Linked DNA regions of Saccharomyces cerevisiae S288C. The gene in region 3 interacts genetically with the main gene of each other region. Each region holds a gene or a part of one and is shown on either strand. Other genes may lie near its edges.

Evidence for each region.
Region 1: of DUF1 (region 3) and UBP13, changing one enhances a phenotype caused by changing the other (phenotypic enhancement), as found in Saccharomyces cerevisiae (one study listed by BioGRID).
Region 2: of DUF1 (region 3) and UBP9, changing one enhances a phenotype caused by changing the other (phenotypic enhancement), as found in Saccharomyces cerevisiae (one study listed by BioGRID).

What each region holds. Positions count from the first base shown.
Region 1 is NC_001134.8:91,206-99,484, forward strand, and holds UBP13 (ubiquitin-specific protease UBP13), read right to left. Parts: upstream 4,678-8,279; coding exon 2,434-4,677; downstream 1-2,433. Other genes in the region: AST1 (Ast1p), read left to right, coding at 1-825; ribose phosphate diphosphokinase subunit PRS4, read left to right, coding at 1,209-2,189; SEF1 (Sef1p), read right to left, coding at 5,464-8,279.
Region 2 is NC_001137.3:351,049-359,487, reverse strand, and holds UBP9 (putative ubiquitin-specific protease UBP9), read right to left. Parts: upstream 4,023-8,439; coding exon 1,758-4,022; downstream 1-1,757. Other genes in the region: ribose phosphate diphosphokinase subunit PRS2, read left to right, coding at 427-1,383; SHC1 (Shc1p), read right to left, coding at 6,252-7,790; recombinase RAD51, read right to left, coding at 8,306-8,439.
Region 3 is NC_001147.6:151,219-160,410, forward strand, and holds DUF1 (Duf1p), read right to left. Parts: upstream 7,420-9,192; coding exon 4,069-7,419; downstream 1-4,068. Other genes in the region: HAL9 (Hal9p), read right to left, coding at 1-2,272; protein disulfide isomerase MPD2, read right to left, coding at 2,694-3,527; MHF1 (Mhf1p), read left to right, coding at 7,955-8,227; alcohol dehydrogenase ADH1, read right to left, coding at 8,330-9,192. UniProt on the Saccharomyces cerevisiae protein: Ubiquitin-binding protein involved in the resistance to phenanthroline, sanguinarine, nordihydroguaiaretic acid (NDGA), isopropyl (N-3-chloro-phenyl)-carbamate (IPCPC) and guanosine 5'-O-(2-thiodiphosphate).

The DNA.
Region 1 (8,279 bases), on a different chromosome or scaffold from region 3:
CCAAAGGTGGACCCAATCCTTTTGAGACCAGAATCGGTTAGCGCCGAAGAAGCTGCAGGCTCCTTATTCTGCCTGGCCACCGGCTATAATATTCTGAATAAATTATCCAAGAACAAGTATTTGAAGCAAGATTCAAACGTTTTGATTAATGGTGGAACTTCGTCAGTGGGGATGTTTGTCATACAATTATTGAAGCGTCATTACAAGTTACAGAAAAAACTAGTGATTGTAACGTCTGCAAATGGGCCCCAAGTTTTACAGGAGAAATTTCCTGATCTGGCTGATGAAATGATTTTCATCGATTACTTAACGTGTAGGGGTAAATCTAGTAAACCACTAAGAAAAATGCTCGAAGAAAAGAAAATTTCTCAGTATGATCCGGTCGAGGATAAGGAAACTATACTTAACTATAATGAGGGGAAGTTCGATGTTGTACTCGATTTTGTCGGTGGTTACGATATTTTGAGTCATTCTAGTTCATTGATTCACGGCGGTGGTGCGTACGTAACCACTGTAGGTGATTACGTTGCCAATTATAAAGAAGACATTTTCGATTCATGGGATAACCCAAGTGCCAATGCAAGAAAAATGTTCGGGTCTATTATCTGGTCATATAACTACACACATTACTATTTTGATCCGAATGCAAAGACGGCTTCCGCCAATAATGATTGGATTGAGCAATGTGGCGACTTTTTGAAGAACGGTACTGTAAAATGTGTCGTCGACAAAGTTTATGACTGGAAAGACCATAAAGAAGCATTTTCTTATATGGCCACTCAACGTGCCCAAGGAAAGTTAATCATGAACGTCGAAAAATTCTAGATACCCACTTACATTTACAATATGTTTTATTTTTAAACTTAATGAACTTCATAATTTAATGCTTAATATTTTCCCCCTCCCACCTTCTCCTGGCGTTCTCTGTACGTACATAACCATTTATTTTAATATATAATCAAATATTGTAACAATTGAAGCAGATGAGTCTCGCTCCTTAGTTAAGCACGTGCCGATGATATCAATTGGATTTGTTAGCAAATCAGCCTTGCTGCTCGATTCTCTGCTTTTTTTTTACTTCTCGGTCATTGAAAAATCCTGACGAAAATATTTCAAGGTCCTATATGGTCATCGACCTTGAGCATGTGGTAGACTACATAATGCACATAGACTCTCAGCTTCAACTCCACAAGGCTTCTCCAGCAAAAATGAATTCAGAGTCTCGAGAAGATATGGCTATAAATAGTATCAAATTGCTAGCGGGAAACTCCCATCCTGATTTGGCTGAACAAATATCGAAAAAGTTAGGTATTCCACTTTCCAAAGTTGGTGTGTACCAGTATTCTAATAAAGAAACCTCTGTCACCATAGGTGAGAGCCTTCGCGACGAAGATGTGTATATTATCCAAACTGGAATAGGTGAACAAGAAATTAATGATTTCTTGATGGAATTATTAATTTTAATTCATGCTTGCAAAATTGCATCTGCAAGAAAGATCACTACTGTAATACCCAATTTTCCATATGCAAGACAAGACAAGAAAGATAAATCCCGGGCGCCCATTACCGCAAAGTTGGTTGCCAATTTATTGCAAACTGCTGGTGCTGATCATGTCATCACAATGGATCTCCATGCCTCCCAAATTCAAGGGTTTTTCCATATCCCGGTTGACAACCTATATGCAGAACCAAGTGTTTTAAATTATATTAGAACGAAAACAGATTTCGACAATGCTATTTTGGTGTCGCCTGATGCAGGTGGTGCTAAGAGAGTAGCTGCTTTGGCTGACAAGTTAGATTTAAATTTTGCTTTGATTCACAAAGAGAGGCAAAAAGCTAACGAGGTTTCAAAAATGGTGCTTGTTGGTGATGTTACCAATAAATCATGTTTATTAGTTGATGATATGGCGGATACTTGTGGTACGTTGGTAAAAGCTTGTGATACGTTGATGGAGCATGGTGCCAAAGAAGTTATAGCTATTGTTACACACGGTATTTTCTCCGGTTCAGCAAGAGAAAAGCTAAGAAATAGTAGATTGTCTAGAATTGTTTGCACAAATACCGTTCCGGTAGATTTGGATTTACCTATTGCTGACCAGATCGATATTAGTCCCACGTTCGCTGAAGCTATAAGAAGACTACACAATGGTGAATCCGTGTCATATTTGTTCACCCATGCTCCAGTATAGGACAATTTTTTATTCTTAGATTCCTGATTGCTTGCATGCCTAAATACTTCATAATTGTATTAGTTTAAAAGAAAACCTTTTACTGAGACAAAACTATAAATTTAAGAAAAAGGTTCCGGAGCCGGTTTAAAAAAAGAAGATTAAAGATATTATATTTATGTAAGAATTAAATTAATACTGTCAGAGAAAAAATAGTTTTAAAGGAGACGGTGAACCTTTACCTTCCTTGATATGCAAATATTTTTCAGCTTTTCCTAAAACTAAACATTCTCGACTTTTTTTTAGAAGACTTTATGGGTGTGTTAGAAACAAAGCTGTCGTCTATAGCAGTATCCAAATCGTCTGCTATAGGCAGCTCTTCCTTTTTCTTTTGACCACTATTGCAAGTTCTTAGCCAATCATCGTACTTGATTAGATTGTCTATATTATCATCTTGTTCTTTTGCCATATTTTCACGATCATTCTTTTCAACAGCGTTTGAATACATCGCTTTATAAAACAAAACATATGCTGTTGCCATATTTGGAGATTCACCTGTGAATTCTAACACTGTTTCCTCTTTAACTGCCTCTACCGTTTCGTCATCAAATAACAACCAGCCAAACTTTTCATGTTTACATAGGGAAACATAATGGCCGTGTTGTGGCCCACCGCCCATATGAACGACAATCCCAGCCAATTCATACTTTTGACAAACCTTAGAATTTATTGAAGAGCAAACATTTAGCGTCAGAGGATAGTGAATGTTATTAAAAAGCTTAATATTACAGTTTTGTTTCTCAGAATACTTGAATCTTTTCAAGTGTAATGTTAAAGTATCAGGCAATTGCTTCAAACCAACTAATCTCTCTGCCTCCTGTAAACCGCAACATTCGTCACAATAAAACTTGTTTGAGCCATTTAGCATTTCTCGCTGGTGATAACTTTTCAAAATTTCCTGTATATCTGTTTCCTCATCTCCCTGAACTTCTATGGGGAAATCCAAAAATGGCTCATCCCTAGATGTAATGTTATCGCACGTCAGACATTTTATTTGATTCGTTAAAGTGCCTTGAAACAAGTCACTGATGAAATTTTTACTCTTACTCGGTTCGCTATCGCTGTTGATATCACTGGCTGCTATTTTTTTATTCTCACGTTCTATATATTCACTCAACTCGTTTAATAAGAAATTGAAAAATTCGTGAGCATCCTGATGCATAGTAGTATTAAATAATACATTTTCTCTTTTGAGAACATCAACAAAAGAGCTAGGCGATACAACACCAGTTAAATACGTATTCTCAGTTATGCATTCAAAGATATCTCTCAAACTGGAATACAAAGTAGCCTTATCTGAGCCGTTTAAGCTATGGTCAATATTGAGCACTGGCCCACGAATAAGTGCGGATTTCTTTCTATGTTCTGGGGATATTTGAGAAGAGGAACTAGATCTTCTAGTATCTTTTTTATCAAGTGGAGTGGATAAGCTGCTATTACTTTCTCCTTTCAAGTCCAGGTTATTACTATTACTGCTACCTCTTGAAGGATTTTCATAATTGAGAACTCTGCCAACAATTATTTTACGCGGAACATCCGGAGGTCTATCTGTGACGTTCTCGAAACTCAATCTGCTCGGAGCACCAGGCTCATTAGGTGTTTCGACTATCAATGGAGGTGCGTCTTGAGGACGAGAAGAGGGTTTTCCAGTGGTTAATATAGCAGGACTTCCTTCCTTTTTATTATTGTCTTGTACATGTTTCGCGCTAAAACTTTTAAAAAATTTACTCTTCTTCTCTGAAGGCCCAGCTGTATTTGAATTTACAGAATTTACAGGGGTAGGCTTTCCATCATCAACAGATTGAGGTTTAGGGTTAGGCAAATGTCCATTGGTACCAGCAATGCTTTTCTCAAAACTTGCTTCGGTAAATATTCTTGGTTTCTTACCTCTCATTTCTTTCTTTCTTGGTTGATCAGATTCTCTTGATTTTTTTGGAAATTGCAATATATTTTCACGTAATGAGGACAGATTATAGAGACATTGAAGAACTGAGTTACAGTAACATGTATTGCCAAAATTTTCGTATCCAAAAACTTTGTTGGAGCCGTCTCCATAGGGCATTGAGTCGGACACCTTCATAGCTAATATGGGTGCCTCGGGCCCTTGCGTGATAATGCCTCCGTATGCGTTTATAGCCTTTGCGTTTGAAATATAAAATATCCCATCCTGGCTGTAATTACTGCCTTGATTGCACGTTTCAGAAGAATAGTCTAGTCCGGAAGAAATCTGCAAATTATTGTCTTCATTCAAAAAAGTTTCCTTGGTATCCAAATTAGAGACAAACAATGAGCTAGAGGGATTATCGGATGATTCGCTATAACAGAGTTCATCATTTATATCGTGGTTTACAGGCTTAAAGTCAACCTTTTCTACTTCTTCTGTAATGGTATCATTAACAGCCTTTTTCTTCTTCCCAGACTTACTTATAGTTAGCCATCTTCTGATCATGATTGCGCCCTTCTTGCGTGGGTTTAGTATGTTAATGAAAGTACTGGATCCTTACTAAAGCCGAATTTGGCCCCTTCAACAAATAAAGCTTGATGAGTTGAACAGTCAAAGGGTAAGATCTGGTATAGGCAATAATAATATTATCCAAATGGAAAAAAAAAAAATGAACAGGTGAAAAAAAATCAATTTGAAAACCAAAGAAAAACTCTATTGATTCCTTTGCTGTTGTCGACCTTCTTTCACACAATAGTTCAATTACGTTCTTTGGGTTCTTTATCTTTATAGTTATCTTGCCTCATCTCTATGTTCAACACTTTCGGATCGATGTATTTTTCAGCCTTCCGCTAAAATTGACGACCGTCTCCAAACGAATAGGGATAAAGAAGCAAGGACTGAGCGTTGGAGAAAAAAAAAAAGTTACCGGAATGGGAATAGATAGATACCTATAAGAAGCGTTATCGTTACTCATGAATTTTGGTAAATGCACACGGATAAATGCATGATATATAAAATATTAATAAGAATAAAATAAATAGGTAGTGAATAAATATTCTACTTTGGTGTGGTCATCATTTTACAAAGGAGGGAGGTCGTGATAACAAACTGATAAATAATCCTTAAGTTGATCCATTCTTGAATATTGTTACATTGGAAATAATCCGAAAAAGAATATGTATAAATAAAAGGACTCGAAGTCCTATGTAGCCGTCTTTGCAAATTTTCTTTAATAAATTAGCAGAAAACAAGGGTAATAATATTTCTTAGAATATTAGAAGAATATAGGCGTTAAAAACCTTGTTCCATGTTCATATCGAACCAACCAAAAAAGTCATCATTACTGGAGTTGCCTTCAATCCAGCCTGCACTTTGTTGCTGAAAAAAATCCGTTAGTTTGTTTCCAGGAGTCTTCACGTTGTTTTCATTATCGATGGTTTGGAAGTTAGAAGAAGTTACAGTGTTAGTGCCCGTAGAAAATCGTTGGTTCGTTTTGTTGCTATTGATATCATTACTTTTGGAAAACAAGCTCAGAGGTGGATATGCCGTGCTTTTAGAGGAGCCGGGGTCGGAAACGACGGAATGCAAATCTGTCATATTATTTGACTTCGAAGCAATCGGTGTACGTGAATGGGACATACTACTTTGTGATCTTCCAATCGCGTTGGCGTTGCTGAATTGATTATTATAATTCATGGTGACATTTTGTAAATTACTGTGCTCCCTTGGAATAGGGTGGTCTATTCCCAATGTAACATTATTAGATAAGTTGCCAACGGGGTGGTTCCTTAACCCTGGAACGGACGCAGGAAAATGATTAACGGGAGTGCTTACTGATCTTTTCATGGAGAGATCAGGAATTACACTAGGTCCGTTACTATAATAGTCTACCTTAGTACTTTGTGGATTGTTATTCGAAGCGGGGACAGAAGCCACTGGATAAATTGAATTAGAGGGAATTGATATGTCATTAGACGCATCCAATAACGTCCTATTATTATTATAATCGTTACTATTCGAGGTATTAGCGAATAAACTTTGAAATTTTACGCTGCCTGTTTCCCCGAGCATGGAAAGAGGTATCCCGTTAATCTCCATTATAGAACCGTCAGAATCTCCGTTATTTGTCTTGGCTAGCTTTTCTGCCTGCTTTAAGGCATTCTTAGTAGGAACTAAAGTGGTAACAGTGGTTCCACTTGGTGTTGTTTTTGTTACAGTTTCAAAGTCATCTCTGGAGATATGGTTATATAGTGGCAATGGATATAGTTTTCTGTCCGTTATGCCACCCGTAGACGAAGTGCCATTGTAGATACCATTTGAGGAAAATTTTCTTTTCTTAGCGGCTTTCTCTAAGGCTTGCTTGTTATATTCGGGATCCATTTCCCTTCTTCTCGCCTCGTGAACACACCAAACCAAATCATAGAATAGAGACCCTGTTAAATGTGATCTCATCCTAGAAATAATACCGTCTTCTTCCACAAAAACTTCTGGATGCATGATCAGTACGAAGTTCAGTTTTTCTAACATACTTGCAGTTCTCGAAATATCATTCTCAACACTAGTGGCCCACGCAGTTAACTGATTTCTATAAAGTCTATGGATAGTGACCACGGATTGCCTTGCTGAATCAAAATATTTGTCAGGAAGTAAAGGAGTCAACTGCAATTTAAAGAGAATCAGTGCAGAAAATGTAGCAGCTTGTCTAATATAAATAGGCAGTTCAATTAATTGGTGTGTTTCTAAAAGATTATTCAATAGAGTGACAATTTTAGTAGCTGTTAGATAGGCCTCTGTGACATATGGAATTTGATCGGTAGGAGGTGTTTCGGGTAGGAATGCAAAACAACAGACAGTTAATTTAACATAAAGAAAATAAATGTTGACAGTATCGTCACTCTGGAAATTTAAAGTTTTTGCTAATAAATCTAACTCTTTTCCCAAGATGGACAGTGTCTCAGCACGATACTTTGGTTCCAATAAACCATCAGGACTGGAAGTGGAAGAACCAATGATATGAGACAATTTTGCTTGGAAATTCGCCAGGCTGAGCAATCTTCTAAAACTGCCCGGTAGTTTGTATTTACTTTCAACGTGCGGCTCGTCTTTCTTGTTCCTTTTATCATTGTTGTTATTGTCAATACTGTCATTGTTATCTTCTTCTGATTCTTCGTCACCACAGGATAAGGCTTTTTCTAATAAATAGTCTGTCTGTGAAGTTGGTGGCAAACCAAGGATACTCGCCCAACAAAGTTCGGCAAAAAATATTCCCAGCCAAGTCCTAGTTCTCCACTTTTCTGCATTTGGCATTGATGTTTGAGTTCTTGTGAATTCAGAAATGAATTCACCTCTGTGCAAACCTAATTGATAAGACAGTGACTTTGCTAATCCTACAAAACGGTAAGAACAATCATCTAGGACTTTTTGGTTAGGCAAAGGCCAAATGCACAATATTAACAAAGCTTGCGAAATATGTGTGGATCTAGGTGTTCTTATCCAGCAGGTCTCTATGGCAAGTTGCTTGATCAAAGAGCTTAGCTTGCAATACATCGTCGGTTCAGGATCAGACAGACATGCCGTCAACATCACGGTCCAGAAAAGCAACTGAGATTGGGAGTATAATTCGGTGGCGTTATTGGAATACATAATAGGAAAATACGGCAGATACCTAGTCACGAAAATATGGTGTAATCTATTCGCTTTTTCAATGGAAATACTAATATCGCCCAGTACAAACTCATCTACATTTGCATGCGGCGAAGGCAATAATGGCATAGTCGTGGTGGTGGCTACTACCGGCGTCTTCGTCCTATCTGCATTGTTATTTGTTGCTACGTGGCTTGTTGCTGCAAATGGTGGTTGATTTGTTGTCGTTGTAACGGTGGTCGACGTAGTATGAGGGGAATATGTTTTTTGAATTGGAGAGAAGGGGCCGTTCGGAGTGTTACCTGCAGAGTTGTTCTTATAAAAAGCCATTTGCAAAGCAGGAGGTAAAGATTCTTTTGAATTATTAGGCAATGCTGAGTCATTTAGCAGCGGGGGCAGCTTATTTGGCTCTGTTGCAACCAAGCCTTTCGAATCTTGCGCTAAAGAAGATGCGCGCAACGTCA
Region 2 (8,439 bases), on a different chromosome or scaffold from region 3:
CGATGGTAGTCTTCTTTATCACGGCTCCTAAAGTGTGATAATCGGAAAGTTCCTTTCTGTTCTCTGCAATCGATTTCGGCTTTTTCTGAACACAAATAACCAAAATTTCCTTATTTTATTGGGGAGGCTATCCTAATTGTAAAGTGCAATATTGCTGTGGAAGGATATCGACTCAAGCGACCAGTGGAATAGGATGGCGAGTTGGCTAGTTTAGCTCTCTCCGACATTGTTGCTATTGAACAGATACGGTATGCCCGTGTATTTATCCTCCTACCAAATCGCGCAGCAAAATGGTTAAGCACGTGACTATTTTTCAACAATGAAAAAATTTTGAACAATAGATGATATGAGGAGGCATCGAGGGATTGCTAAGAAGAGGATATTCCTCATCATCCAAAGACTATCTTGTCGTAAGTTTCGTTGAATATGTCTACAAACAGTATTAAGTTGTTAGCTGGTAACTCACATCCTGGGCTTGCTGAGCTTATTTCCCAAAGGCTTGGTGTACCGTTATCTAAAGTGGGGGTATATCAGTATTCAAATAAAGAGACGTCTGTTACAATAGGGGAAAGCATTCGTGATGAAGACGTATATATCATCCAAACTGGTTACGGGGAACATGAAATCAACGATTTCTTAATGGAATTACTTATCTTAATTCACGCTTGTAAGACGGCATCAGTCAGAAGAATTACGGCAGTAATACCAAATTTCCCTTATGCTAGACAAGATAAGAAGGATAAATCGCGGGCGCCCATCACTGCGAAGCTGATTGCCAATCTTTTGGAAACTGCGGGTTGTGATCATGTTATTACTATGGATCTCCATGCTTCACAAATTCAAGGGTTTTTTCATATCCCGGTTGATAATTTATACGGTGAACCAAGTGTGTTGAATTACATAAGGACCAAAACAGATTTCAATAATGCGATACTGGTATCGCCTGATGCTGGTGGTGCGAAAAGGGTGGCTTCTTTAGCGGACAAGCTGGATATGAATTTTGCCTTGATTCATAAGGAGAGGCAAAAAGCTAATGAAGTTTCGCGAATGCTGCTTGTCGGTGATGTTGCTGGTAAGTCATGCTTGTTGATTGACGATATGGCTGACACGTGTGGTACGCTGGTGAAAGCCTGTGACACATTAATGGATCACGGTGCTAAGGAGGTTATCGCTATTGTCACACATGGTATATTTTCTGGCTCAGCTAGGGAGAAGTTAATAAATAGTAGGTTATCAAGAATTGTTTGCACCAACACGGTACCTGTTGATTTGGATTTGGACATTGTCGATCAGGTGGATATCAGCCCTACGATTGCAGAAGCTATCAGAAGATTGCATAATGGAGAATCAGTCTCATATTTATTTACACATGCGCCTGTTTAAAGAAGAGGTATAAACGAATATATTTGTATAAATGTACTAACAGATATTTTGAAAAAAAATGCGTATATCTATTCAGTATTAGCGCTTATGCTGCCACCAATATTCTTCATCTGGTCTCTATGAGATTTTCATTAAAGCTTAATCTTTTCTGATTTACCGCCCTTGCTTTTGGAAAATATGTGAAATTTTATTGTGCTCTAAAAAAAAAAAGTTATTACAGTAGGTGAAGTGAAATACAACTAAATTCGAAAGATCAGGAACAATAGAAAGAAACGTGGAAATTATTTAAAAAAGGAAGAAAAAATGGTACACTAATATTGATACTTTTAGAACAGATGGGTCTCAACTATATGATGTATCGAAACAATCCCGATTTATTTGATGAAGCTCAATATTCTCGATTTTCTTTTTTGCTTATTGCGTTTTTTATCATTTAATGGCGTCTTGGTTTCTGCAGTCTTAACTTCAGGTATATTCCCCAAGGTCTTTTTGCGTTCAATATTTGCAGCTGCCCTCAATTTACGATCCCTTAACCAATCATCGCATTTTATTAACTGTTCAATGTTATTGTCAGTCTGCATTTGATCTTGACTAGAAGTGTCTATATTTTCATTTTGATTTTCGGTCTTATCAGCCTGTGTTTCTTTATAGAATAAAACGTAGGCTGTAGTTTGATCACCTGGATGACCTGTGAATTGTAACACAGTTTCTTCTTTTATGGATTCCACCGTTTCGTCATCATACAAAAGCCACCCAAACTTTTCGTTCCTGCAAATGCATACGTAATGACCATGCTGTGGACCGCTCCCCATATGGATGACGACGCCGCTTAGTTCATATTTTTTATATACTGATGTATTAAAAGTGGAAGAAACATCCAAAGTTAGTGGATAGAGTATTTTGTTAAAAAGTTTGATGTTTGACTTTTGCTCCTCTGAATACTTGAATCTTTTTAGGTGCAATGACAGAATATGGGGCAGTTGCTTCAGTCCGACCATACGTTCTGCTTCTTGTAAACCATAACATTTGTTACAATAAAATTTGTTAACCCCGTTCAACATCTCACGCTGATGATAGCTTTTTAACATCTTCTGGATATCAGTCTCTTCATCACCCTGTACTTCTATTGGAAAGTCTAAAAATGGTTCGTCCCTTGAGGTGATATTGTCACAAGTTAAACATTTGATCCTATTCGTCAGTGTACCTTTGAATAAATCCGTTATAAAGTTGTCGTTGCTGTTGTCTGTCTTTTGTGGTCCGAATCTCATTCTGGGATTATTGCGTTGAATATATTCACTGAAATCATTTAATAAAAAGTTTAAAAATTCATGGGCATCTTGTTGCATCATAGTGTTGAACAAGACGTTTTCTTTTTTTAAAATTTTGACAAACTCTGTAGGTGAAACGATACCGGTTAGCGACAAGTTTTCAGTAATAGACTCAAATATATCTTTTAGTCCATTGTAAAGTGTAGCTTCCTCGGTTGGATAAAGTAAATGATCTACGTTAAGAACGGGGCCTCTAATTAAAGCGGCTTTTTTTCTTTGTTCACTTGTTGGAAACGTATTCTCTTTATTATTATTAGAATTGTTGACAGCATCGTTACAGCTCTCAGGGTTAACAAGGACATCATCATCCACTGATGTAATCCTACTGCCTTGTGAATCACACTGGCAATGCGAATTTGCTTGACAATCTGTAGTTGAAGCTTTTGATAAGGAATCGCTTTGCTTTAAAAGCGGTCTTCCCACAATAATTTTTTTACAGCCTTCGTGAAGCTTCTCTGTTAATGTATCAGAGGCCATTACAACTGTGTGAACAGGCTGAGGCCGTTCCATCTCATTGTTATCATCTTTCTTTGCAGAATCTTTATAGTTCGATTTATCTTTTCCAAAACCCATAAACGAGTTCCTTTTTCTTTCAAAATTATTCTGTTTTTCTTGAGTAGAAGAAGAGGAGTTATCTTGATCACTCTGCTGAAGGTGGTGGTGGTTATGTGCATCTTCATTATCATTGCTTTGGTACCCCGTATTAGAATTTCCGCTATTAGTAGATGTTTCAAAACTTTCATTAGTGAATACCCTTATTTTTGAACCCTTCAAATCACTTTTGCGTATTCTGTTTACTGCGGCTACTCTTTCAGGATATCGCAGCACATTACACCTAAATTCGGGGATATTATAAAGGCATTGTAGAACGGAGTTGCAGTAGCAAGTATTCCCAAAATTTTCATAACCAAACACTTTATTGGAACCATCCCCATATGGCATTAAATCTGTAATAGTAGTAAATAGTATGGAGGACTCTGTATCGAACGCACGATCTTCATATGTAGTCGAGGAATCGTACTCTCTTTCATCTGAAGTACTTGCCATATTATGGTAATGCTCATGGTAATGTTTATTTCCTGCAAGGTTATCCGTTTGACTACTAAACTTGCTTCTTCTTTCATGGCTCGCAAGATTAGAAGGTATGCTTGATGTACTACTCTTAGCACTTGGTGATTTCGCTATGGAGGGATCTCCAGAACCTTTCGTTTTCTTCAGGCTAGTTGCTTTCCGATTAATTTCGTCATTACCTTGAGTGTTCTTCTCCGGGTGTGACTTTTTCCTATTCACAGATAACCATCTTTTTATCATTTTTCATATGGAAGACTCGTTGCCTTTGGTAAATGTTTTAATTTTCTGTTTATTACTGATAATGCAAATACTTTTTTAAGGATCGAGCTAAGGTTTTCGACACATTCAAGCTTGTTCAAGCGAAAGGTTGAGTTCGCCCCTAGAAGTTTAATAAAATCGGAAGTTCCAAATACAGCTTCGATGGACCTTATTGAATGCAAGAGAAACGTTTTCTTGTGGGGGGGGCGTATATCGTTTGGAAAGGAACAGAAGTGCAACTTTTTCAACCCATAATAGAAATCGCGCATTGACATTAATAAACGCGATTTCCGGGGTAAAAACCGCATATAAAGTATATATGGCGTACAGGAGCCCAACTGCTTTTTCTTTTGCTGAAGGACAATTGAGATACGACAGCGTGATGCTTTGTTGGAAGGTGGCTCCTAACCCCATACATACACTGTATGATGTCAAAAAAGTACTCCGATACGGGGAGTCGAACCCCGGTCTCCACGGTGAAAGCGTGATGTGATAGCCGTTACACTATATCGGATTACAATACACGTATGTGTTGCATCTCAAAATGGAATACGTCAGTATGACAATACCCACCTAAAATATTCATAAAACACATATTGAGATGTTGGTGAATTTTAAAATAATTGTTGGGATTCATTGTTCGTAAACGCTATAATATTGCGTATACAGAATATACTAGAAGTCTCCTCGAGATATGGAATCCATAAAAGGAGAATCTGTTGGAACGAGAGTAATTAATAGTGACATGAGTTGCTATGGTAACAATCTAATGCTTACATCGTATATTAATGTACACCTCGTATACGTTTAAGTGTGATTGCGCCTATTGCAGAAGGAATGTTAAACGAGAAGCTCAGACAATACTGAAGCTGTGTTAAACACCTATTAGTTGAACATGTTATGGTAGGTACATATATGAGGAATATGAGTCGTCACATCAATGTATAGTAACTACCGGAATCACTATTATATTGGTCATGATTAATATGACCAATCGGCGTGTGTTTTATATACCTCTCTTATTTAGTATAAGAAGATCAGTAATTATTTCTTCATTAATACTATTTTTTTACCTCTAATTATCAACAGAATCGATAAATCTACATATTGTTGTTATTCTTTTTTCTTCCATTTTATATGTTCTCGTTTATTATTCTATCACGATCTGAGTCCCTGCATTTCGGCCTCCATTAAATTTGATGAGTGTTTCTCAATTTTTTATGTCATCTTCCCGCACCGTATATGATTGTATACCAGTATTATGAATATCAGTACACTAGTTGATAGATGATGGCTGATTCCTATTCCAAGAAAGTTTTACTTAAACTTTTATATTTCTACTATAGGTTCTTGTCTGAGTAACGGAAACCACCTGCTCTAACAAAATCTTAGTTTAGTTCAAGGTTACATTTGCTGCATAATCGTTGTGGTTCTGGAGTTTTATCCCGCAACGAAATTCTAATCTATGGTTGAAATTTAATTATGGAAAAACTCATTTATGATGCTAAGCAAACAGGTCTTAGTGTGAGGGGGCATTGATCTTGAAAAATAGTCAATCCTACCCGCAGAAATTACTCCACAAAGGTCTGAAAGGAGACGCTGTTGCGTATTTGATCAATGAGGTGTATACCTCTTATCTTAAGCGGTATATAATAGCTTTATATCCCGATACTTGAATTATGCTTATGTAGGAAGAAGTGACACTGATTGCTCATTTGTGCCATTATAATGTAAGCGTTTGTTTTACAAGTGTTAGTGAAGGTACAATGTATGTTATTATTTTTTTTCTTCATCGTTTCTTTTCAAAAGGATGAGATTTTGTTTTAAAATATTACAGATTTCCGCACCAAAAAGTAAATATTATGAAAAAGACACATTAATTTCAACGCTGGGAAAGTAAATAAGTATAACGTCGTATATGATAGAACTAAGAAAGGCCGTGACTTAACTGGTCCATAGCCAATGCCACGGCATTAACGATAGTAGTGCTCAAATACATCTAAAAATGCAGCATATAGGATCTGCGCTAAATAACAGAAGGAGTTTAGTCAGGTTTATTTATTCGATATACAGCAAAGTAACAAATAGTAACGAAAGGTGTGAGGATCAGTCTATTTTTGATCAAACAAACTTCTAAAGTTAATCGAACTTCCACAGTTTGTGAAAAAAAAAACAACAAAATAAAAGGAAAACGAAGTTTGTATTTATCTATTAAATCAACTTTTTGGCTGCCACAGCTTCATGGGAGGTTTTATGATATTTCTGTGCCGAAGGAGGATGTCCTCGCGAAACAAACCCTCCACTTCTGCGAGCGTCTTCTAGTATTCTTGCCGATTCAGTATGCCCTAAAGCCGCCGCCTTCTCATACAATGCCATAGCATAATCTGGATCCGAAATGATAAGATCTTTATATCCCGTCATATAAATATTGGCTAATTCAAAAGGAGCACCACAAACAAAGCTGCTAGCCATAGATGTAGCCCTTCGCAACCATCTATAACCATCCATTTTGGTTAGAATATCATCTGGAAGACCCATCAAACCATGATACGAATATACTCCTAATTTGTACATTGCTGCAGGATGGTTCTTAGTTGCAGCAAAAGTCAAAAAGTTAACCGCCTTCGGTGCATTTCTGGTTACACCCAAGCCGCACTCATAGCAAATGGCAGTTCTGTAAACACTTTCGATGTGCATTCTTTTGGCTGCAGCGGAGAATAAAAGAAATGCTCTTCTATTCTTTATTTTACCGAAAACTCCAGAGGAGTAGGCGTCACCTAGAAGGTACTGTGCATCAGGGTATCCAACGGCACTTAGTTTCTTCAAAATAACTTTGGCATCGTTCACTAAATATTCCTTTAAAGAATCTACAGAGAAGCTATTGCTTTCATCCTCCAGTTCCTTAACAAGTTCGTGTAGTTTTTCGGTATCCAACCCTACCCTTAAAATGTATTGTGCATACTGAAAATTAGAATATATGTCTTGAGTTTTCTTAACTACCTCCCCGTACATTTCAATGGTTTTCCATCTTGGTAGCAAGCTCTTCTTGTTTTTCTTGCCAAGGTGAAATTTGGCCACATTATGTGATTCTGATGCAGTCACCTCATTTGTGAGGCAAAGACTATTGTAAACGTTAAAATCTAGTGACACATGTCTAGGAAGTGAAATGGAACTTGTACTTCTATTGATATCGTTTGAAGAGCCTGATCCGCTTGGATTATTCAAAAAGTCCAAATCATTCGATTGACTAAAAGACAGAGCGACAGATTCATTCTGAGAGGGAGGGGGCTCAGCGAAGTCGTGAAACTCGGAATTACCGTCTGCCGATGTGCCATTTAAAATTTCGGATGAAATTTCAGAAGCAATTTCAATTTCACAAGAACCTTGTGATTTTTCCTTCAGTGAGGAAGAAGCATCGTCCTCAACGTCGTTCTCAAACTCGTCCTGCTCAGGAAGAATCTTTCTTGTGGGAAAAGAGTTATATTTTTCAATCAATGAGGGCGAAGCGTCGATATCCATCGCATCCTCACCAATAGAGGATGAAATTTTTTCTTTATCATTTGTAAACACATCACCTGAGCGTGAAATATGAGATGAAACGGATGACCAGTATTGACGAACTTCTGGTTTATTCAATATCAGAGAGGAATCAGAGGAGAATCCGCTTGATTCCAACTGTTTATCAACCTCATTATAAGCTCCAATTTCAGGGTATGCACCAGGAGTATTTGAGCAAATAGTCATGGACATTATGGGTACTGCCTGATTTTAACAAAGGGATACTCGTAATGTCAACCGTACTTCTCTTGCTGTTAGCAAAAGTATTGTTCTATTCTTTTTTCCAAGTACAATTTTTTATTCAATTTAAAAACGTCGAAACGAAGACAAGGAAATTCATTGCCATAAAGAAGTGTATGGTATTTTACGTTGGTTTTATAAGAGGATGGCGACATATCAGAAAATTTTTCTCTTCACTCCCCTAAAAGGATAAAGCCGCGCGGACCCTGCAGGAGGAAGTAGTCATCGGGAAGAAGAGTAGAAAAATACATATATTTCATGGGTGACAGACAATACGAAAGTTATTTAAAAGAACTGAAAAAAAAGGTTAAGACCGCAGTAGGGTTGCGAGGTATATGACAAAATATATGCAAAAATCTAAGACAGTGGATGGAAATGAAGATAAAAATGTACGGAACGCAACCTAAGAAAAAGAGGAGAATTGAAAGTAAACCTGTGTAAATAAATAGAGACAAGAGACCAAATACCTACTCGTCTTCTTCTCTGGGGTCACCAACACCATCTTCATAGATCGCGAACACACATTCAGCCTCTGGTAAGCAAGGTGAGTCAACAACTTTGCATAATCTTTGACATCCCTTACCCTTTTTGAAACCTAATC
Region 3 (9,192 bases):
TATGCGCCTGGTAATTGATGCCTTGAAACAGCTGTAACATTTCTTTACTGGCGTTTAAGTATTGACTTGAAAAAAGAATGAATAGCTGAGGAATATCATGGCGAGAACCTTTGTATAGGCGTTCGTTATCAATCAATAAGGATGTAGTCATCATGCTCAAAATCACTTTAGAATATAGCGCCCTAAAATGACAATTCAAAACACGAGAGCATGCAATCTCAAAACTTAAAGCCGGATTTTCTTGGGATTTTTGAGCGTAAAGTACCGATAAATACTGTTTATAACTTTTTAGTTTCATACTTACGTGCAAGTTGTCTCTCCAATTGTTCAAAGAATCATTGAGATCTTTGATTTTATCAAGCATGGCATCGAATGAAAGATCTAGAGTACTTCTGACAGCAAAACAAGTAGAGTATATTTTACTCTCAATACTAACCAATTTTGAAACATAATATGATATGAAAAGGGATATGTGCTGACAAAAATTTACAACTACATTCAATGCAGAGTTGACATCAGTAATTTTATCGAGATCTTCCTTTTTATCAATAAGATCAGGTAGAATATTAGTTTTTATCACTTCATAATAATTTTGATCTGTTAGCATATCCATATCGCGTTCCCCCACAATAGGGGGTCTGGATAACATTAAAGAATATAGTTTATCTGTACAAAAACAATGCCACCACATTCTTCTTCTCCTTATGGCTTCTTCAAAGTCTAGTGACTTGTAAGAGGATTTTCTATTTAATTCCATGTCAACCGCCAATCTAATCGCGGTTCCTAAAATACAATTTGCTAGTTCAGTATCGTAGGTAAGTTGAAAATATCGGTTCAGTAGTAATAAAGCTTGTAGTGTTCTTGTACCTGAACAGATGGTGGACAGCTTATGATAATAATACATGGCATTTAGTAAGGCAACGTTTTCGATTTTTTTTAACTCTTGGGAGGTTGGATCATATCTATCTTTCCTTAGAAACTTTGAATCACCTCTTATAATTGATTGAGTGGCAGATGCACCCGAGCAGAGACACACGTTTAATAATAAATGTTCAGGATATGTGAGTTTTTCGCCGCTTTCGCTGTAGTACTTTTCTGCTAAGTCTAGACATTCTTTTAACGATATTATACCAGTTACAGAGGATAATAAGGTAGCATGAAAATTCTCAAGAAGTCTCTTTGCTTGCTTTTTCGGAGGTAATGAGTATAATATTATTTCGCTGGAGAAGAAAGCCGGAGATGACAAATCCATAAATTTTTTCATTTGAGTTGCATACCATTTTAAAGATATGCTTAATATTTCGCTGATTGGAGAAAGAAACTCCTCATTGGACGCTTTCACTCCTAAACTTTGTTTGAACCAATAGAGTTTTTGAGCAGTTAAAAGTGCCGTAGAGTATATTTTTCTCGCTGGTTTGGGCAAATTGTTCTTTTCCTTGTATTTGCCTTCCTGCTTTTTAACAGCCTTGTCCAATAACCACTCAAGTCTAGCCACACTGTCAATAATGTAAGACATTTTTCTATCCAATTTTTCAATCTTTGAATTCATTTTTTTGTTAAGATTATTTTGAATATTGGAGACTTTATCGATGATATTGCTTTCTAAGGGGGAATTACCGTTTAAAAGTTCAAACCTTCCACTGTTCGGTACTGAAGAAGACGCTACAGGATTGCTAATACTATTTGAGGTTTGAAGTGATTCCCCTGGTGTTGCATGATGTTTGATTTCTAATTTTCTTTTCTTCTTAAGAATCTCATCACGATGTTTGAAAGTGCAAGGCAACTGAAACTTAATACAGTTTGAACATTTTTTGGTCTGCTGGTCCACTTCATCACATCTGATTTTTCTTTTTCGGCAATGGTCACAGGCCTTTGATACACGTTTCTTGAGATTTTTACCAGAGCCGCTCATATCATTACTGTTAGTGTGTTCCATCATCGTGCTGATGTCACGGTTCTGTTGTGTCTGAAATTGCGACTGATGCTCTGTTGGCGAGTATATTGTATTGGGATAAGCCACATTCATGGGGATATTTGGACCTATTGTACTACCTGTCATAAGGGTGTTTTCTCTGTTAGGCATCGTCATCAGTTGATCTGGCACAGGCATCGACCATATTTGAGTTTCAGGAACCAGACGTGGGGTACCAGTTTGATGGTTTACATTTGAAATGTCACTTCTACCGGTGATTTCATTGTTAAAAACCGCATTCATATTGCTTGCTGAGTTTGAAAACCCATTTGGGCTGTAATCTCCACCTTGATTTTCCATTATTTCAAACCGAAGATTTGGAGTGGAGAGTGCTGATTTCCTAAGTTGAATTAAAGTACGATAATAAGCTCCCTAAGACATTTATTCTTTTTTCGAATTAAAGGCTTTTTATATAAAGCCATCTTTCATGTACGTAATTGGAGATTATACCAAAACCAAACAGGGTAAGAGATGTTTCTCTAATGAATAAAATAACAGTGTTACCTTAGCACAAGCCAATATTCAAAACACATGTGGTAGACCTTCTGTAATATTTATGTATATCTCCATAATCTTTCACCTACACAATCTCACTTATATTGCGGCTAACGTACATTGTTAAATATATATGTATCTGTGTATTTGTTGTACCTCAGGGTGAGGGTCCCGCTTCCGTCTGTAGTCGGTATTCGTAAAGTAAAAGACAGAGCGAAGCTTATGTTCAAAGCTCGTCATGACTACTGGTATCTTCTAACTGGTCTTCTATGTGTGATAATAGGCTCAATTGTAGACGAATGATTTTCAGTTTTTCTTTAACTTCTTTACTCAAGTCATCTCCATTTTGCTTAATTAAAGCTTCTAGTCTTCGCCTTTCCTTTTCCAGCCCATTCACGTCACCGTATAATTTAGATAAAGTATCAGAGTAGTATTCTTTACCAGCTTTACACAGAAGCTGTTGAGAACGTAATTCTTCATTGCAATTCCTAGAATCATCGAAAATATGTTCTATGAATCTTTCTTCTGTATCTTTACTTCTTACAGTATCGATAAAGTTGCTTAAACTCTTTAGGTTCCTACTCCCTTCAAAACGAACAACCCTAGACGTATCCAGTTGGTACTTAGGATTGTTGAACCACGTCTTGATTCTTTGCCATAGTCTTTCATGAAATTTCATAGACGACCAATCGAGCTTCGGAAGAACTAAGGGCTTAGTACGAGGTTTGACCAGTTCAATTATTGGAAATCCAGGCAAGTCGGTACATAAAGTTGGCCCGAAGAATTCACAGTTAACTTCAAGGAAGTTAATTGGGGTATCATCTTTATTAGCTTTTTTGGCGTATAGCTCACCAAGCTCTTCGTATACTGGGGCCAGAGTTTTACAATGTTGGCACCAAGAAGTGTAGTATTTTATCATTGTGTAAGAATCATTCCTATTGCAGATATCGAAGTACTGCTCAATCGACTTGACCATCGTGACAGCTTCACTGTAGGCCAACGCTGGTAAAATGACGACGCATGTTGATAATACGGAAAATAAAAAGCCGTGCAATTTCATCTCCTTTGTGTTTTACTTTGCCGACGTACTTGCACTAGACTCGCTGTGTTTTTTTTCTGTTGTTTTGTTGTTATGCTGTTCTTTAGCTCAAAAAATTGGCCACTGTTCCCCGCTCTGTAAATTAATTGCTCTTAAAGAAACAAAAATGATTAAAAAAAATTAGAAATATTTGAGATAATAAGAACATCATTCAGGTCGCCCATATTCACAATTATTTACAGACTGTATTTTAATGAAGAATGTGTGCATAACTTGATGGTACCTATTCAATATAAAATTTGATAAATAAATAATATTATAAAAATGTCTATGTAATTATTATAAAGCTCTAGAGTATGTATGAGTTGTTACACATAGCATTCCAATGAGTACTTGCTTTTTTCTTCGTTCTTTAGACATTTCAGAAGAATATTCTTTATCTTGTCATTGTTACTGCAACTACTATTATAGTATTATTAGTATTATTGTTGGTATTGTTACTATATATTTACGCTTAAAAACTCCAAATTCAGACCCCAAAATATAATTTAAATAAACATTATCATTTCCCCTCATTCCCGTTGACCTCATGAACTAGCGGTGAATTATGTACTTTTCTTCTGTATTCTAGAACTATGTCACCCTGAGATTTCCAGTAAAGTGTTCTAACGGTATTTAAAGTCATATCGTTATCAAGCACTTGGCCCCTACATAGTAGATCCAACCAAAGACTAGGTTCCATTTTTGCTTTCATTTCAGGAGTTTTCGTTTCAAATCTGTCAGCGACGTAAAGTTTAATTTTTTTCACCCTAATCATTCCAGGCGCAACCAGCTTGACATTCGCCTCAGAGATTCTCGGTAAATCTGTGGGGTTTAACTCCTGCTCGCTGGTCTTCGGACGGCCAAACTTTAGCATATTATGGAACTGTTGCTGTGTTGATGGGGAAACGGCTTCATTACCATTTCCAAGGCTGCTATCGCTACTATCGTTGCCAGAAGATTCTGTGGTATCTGATGCACTAATAAACTTCTTCTTGTTTTCATTGCCAGCTGCCTCACTCCCACCAACAGAAGACCATGGCATGATTAAGAAGTTCAACTTTGGTTGCTCTTCCACCGTCTTAATATCTCTAAATAAAGCTTTTGCAAACCAGTAGGGCAAATTTTCCTCCAATTGCTCAAAAATTTGCCTTCTGTTGAGTCTGCTTCCTAACTCGCCATCAATAAGATCATATTTTCCTAATTTGTCATCATCTACAGCTTGAAGGTCTACTTCTTCATCATCTGGCGGTTTGGAATTTTCTTTGCCGCCGCTGACGGTTTCATTATCGACATGAGATGGCGGTAATAGGGTGGAAAATAATACCCTGCCACCACATGAGCCTTCCTTCCAAAGATGGACCAAAACTAACGTGGCAGATTTTACTCTAATAATTGGACATGAACTAGCCTTGATTATCTTGGTGACTGGAAGCCTCTTCGTCAGGTATTTTAGAGAAGAAGTATTCATATATTGTTGCTTGTAAGACTCTTGAATTTGCTCCAGTAAATCGGGCATGAACTCAGGCTTCTTCTTTTCGTTGCCTTCCAAGGTTGACGTGGAATTCGCCCTTGAGTTTTCAGATGATCTTAGTTTGTTATGAGTGTTGTTACTCGGTAAATCTTGTGATGAAATAGCGGATAGTTTTTGCTCTAGCTTGAAAGGATGATTCCATAACATAGATTCTGGAGTTGCATCCTTAGACTGCTGAGTTGTATTGATAGCTTGAGGGAAGGCCGAGTCATCATTAATAACGTGCGGAGTATCTGGCAGAATTCCTTTGGGCTCCTCTGGAGTGTTTAACCCTGTTGTGGCACGACCAGAAGTAGACCTAAATGATTTGAACTTTCTACTTAACAAGGAGCCAGAGCTCTGCGTTCTAAAATATGGCTTTTTGGATGCAGGCAATGGTTGCACGAGTTCTAAAGAGTCATCTATTGCTTTATCAGAAGCTGACTGCAACAATGGTTGTTCTTCTAATACTATAGTCTCTGCCATTACCGGGGTTGCAGGTGCCGAATTTGGTGGAGTTCCACTGCTGTTGGTATTTCCAATGGACAGAGTTGAACTAATTTTGAAGGTTGATTTTCTCTTTTTATCTTTATTATTCTTTTTTGATTCACTGTTATATCCCGTATCCAAGGTTAATGAATTGGTTAAGTCTTTTTTCTTCAAACTAAAAATTTTCTTCCTTAAAAGTTTATCCTTTTGGACTTCATATGATATGAACTCATTGAAAAGCGAATTAATAACAATTTTACCCAAATTATATCTCTCATCTGAGTTAATTTCAATATTGTTCACAACCTGATAATCCTTTAGCGCGGATCCATAAACTTCAGTTTTCAGAAATTTTGGGTTTATTTTTACGAACAGCATACCGACCTTAACGGAAACAGTACACCAATGAGATAGAATTTCCTTTGAGGTGTATTTCATTACAATATCATCAAATGAACCTTCTGATGAATCAAAAGTATTCAAAAGCTCACATGAAACGATATCCCATCTCTGCATTTGGCCTTTAGTGTTTTCCGTTATTACATGCCTCCTGTTGGTTAGCAGTGAGCTTCTGGTCAGTGCGAACCCACCTTCGTTGACACTGAAATGGTTATTAGTTAAATCGAGCACGTTTAGATTTGAGTCAGTACAAAAAGAAAACAACAATTTTTCATTAGGTAAAAGGGCAATATCAAGGATACCACCATATTTTTTTACTTTCGCATCTGTAGTTGATATATTTTGCTCTTCGTGTTCATGGTGATGATGATGATGGTGGTGATGATCAGGCTTGAAAATTCTTGTAAGTTTAGCATCTTCATAACTGGATAAGTTTGCTCTCATAACATTGCCCTGAGAGTCACCAAAATACAACTTATCAAGGCTCGTTCCTTGGACACACCATATGGAAGAATCCCAGGACCAAGATCCAATTTTTTTGGGAAGCTGAAGGGCACCAGTAGTCTGATCATGCCTACAATTCAAGTCCCATACATTTATTACACCATCTGAGCTGGTACTGATTAGTCGTGTGGAGTCATCAAGAGTTCTTACTACTTTTATATTTGTTCTGTGGGCGTTTTGAATTCTTATCACCTCCTTACGATATTTACACGAATAAAAAATCAAATCACCATTACAGTCTCCGGCAACAAAATCAAAGGGACGAGACGTTTGATTGTCATCAAAACTGTATTTTGGGATGATGGGACTCATGGAGTATATTGAGCCTGTGTCGTTTGATTGTGCATTATCAAATGTGTGTAGTAGCGTAGCCATTTTTTCTGGCCCGCTGCTCAGGCACCAAAGTTTGATTTTTCTATCTAGACCACCTGTCACAAAAAGAAAGTTGTTCTGTTCATCAACAACAATGCCATTATTTATTCCATCGTGTACATTATCAGGACCACCCTCTTGTTCTTCCAATTCATAGTCATTTGACATTTCATAATGTATGGGCACTATGCACTTGATATAATCGTCGTGGTCACCGATTATTTTCTTATCCCAGGTAGTTAACTGCGCATTCACACTAATTAATACTATCGAAAAATCGTGACTTACTGATATGAATGTGTCCCCTGCAGATGGGTCTGAATTTTTCATATTAACATGTATTAGATCGCTTGCCCAATCGCTATGAACTTGCATTCTTATCGCATCGTTTTTTATGGTAGTTGCAGCAGTCTCAGGCTCGTTCGAGAGCTGTGTGTTCTTGTGCAAAATTATGGAACCATCCCTTCCTGAAGTAAGAAAATAGTTTTTACCAGGTATATCCGGGTACAGAATCTTTGTTATCGGTAAGATGTGCGCATCTTGGGAAGTGCAGTAATCTGGGGAAATTAGGCCATAACTCACTGTCAACTGATTCATTATTACCTTTCTATTTTCTCCGGCTTTTTATTGGCTTGCTCTTCTAAAGTCAGAAAAGCGTAGATTTGCTAGAATGTATCGTTTCCTCGTTAGGAATGGCTTGAACTAATTCCTGTATCTATGCAATTGCAATCCAACTACACTTATACGACGTCAAAAGGAAGGGGCGGAGCGTTCTAATTGTAGTTGCAAAAAGCGATGTAGTCGTTCTTCAAGTAGTAATTAATACCAGGATAGGACACGGTGTTATGGTGCTGGTAGTTACTTGTTATAATGTTATTATTGGGCAAAAAGAGAGTTCACTGTTTAACAATAGCAATGGGGTTTTTTTCAGTATACATTTGAACTGCAATGGAATTTGGGCGGAGGGAGCAGTAAAGGGGCGATCAGAGTTGAAAAAAAAATGCTGCCGTAAAAAAAGCATGCACGTATACACTTGAGTAAATATATTTATGTATTCATATCTCAAGATAAGATCATGATACATAAAAGCGATATAACGTCTTGAAGCTCAGGTAAGGGGCTAGTAGATGCAATGAATGACGATGAAGATAGAGCCCAACTGAAGGCTAGGCTGTGGATCCGTGTGGAAGAACGATTACAACAGGTGTTGTCCTCTGAGGACATAAAATACACACCGAGATTCATCAACTCATTGCTGGAGTTAGCATATCTACAATTGGGTGAAATGGGGAGCGATTTGCAGGCATTTGCTCGGCATGCCGGTAGAGGTGTGGTCAATAAGAGCGACCTCATGCTATACCTGAGAAAGCAACCTGACCTACAGGAAAGAGTTACTCAAGAATAAGAATTTTCGTTTTAAAACCTAAGAGTCACTTTAAAATTTGTATACACTTATTTTTTTTATAACTTATTTAATAATAAAAATCATAAATCATAAGAAATTCGCTTATTTAGAAGTGTCAACAACGTATCTACCAACGATTTGACCCTTTTCCATCTTTTCGTAAATTTCTGGCAAGGTAGACAAGCCGACAACCTTGATTGGAGACTTGACCAAACCTCTGGCGAAGAAGTCCAAAGCTTCTCTGGTGTCAGCTCTGTTACCGACGTAAGAACCAACAATAGAGATGGACTTGACGACTTGGTTGAAGACATCAGAACAACACTTGGCACCAGCTGGCATACCGACCAAAACGGTGGTACCGTTAGCTCTAACGTATCTGGTAGAAGCTTCAATAGCGGCTTCGGAAACGGAAACGTTGATGACACCGTGAGCACCACCGTCAGTGGCCTTTAGAACAGCACCGACAATGTCCTTTTCCTTAGTGAAGTCAATGAAGACTTCACCACCGATGGATCTGAATAATTCTTCCTTACCTTCACCACCGTCAATACCCAAGACTCTGTAACCCATAGCCTTGGCGTATTGAACAGCCAAAGAACCTAGACCACCAGCAGCACCGGAGATAGCAACCCAGTGACCGGCCATCAAGTTAGCAGACTTCAAAGCCTTGTAGACGGTGATACCAGCACACAAGATGGGGGCGACTTGGGCCAAGTCGGTACCTTGAGGAATGTGAGCGGCTTGAACAGCGTCAGCGGTAGCGTATTGTTGGAAAGAACCGTCGTGGGTGTAACCAGACAAGTCAGCGTGAGGACAGTTGGATTCGTTACCCAATTCACAGTATTCACAGGCCATACAAGAACCGTTCAACCATTTGATACCGGCGTAGTCACCGATCTTCCAGCCCTTAACGTTTTCACCCATGCCGACAACGACACCGGCACCTTCGTGACCACCGACTAATG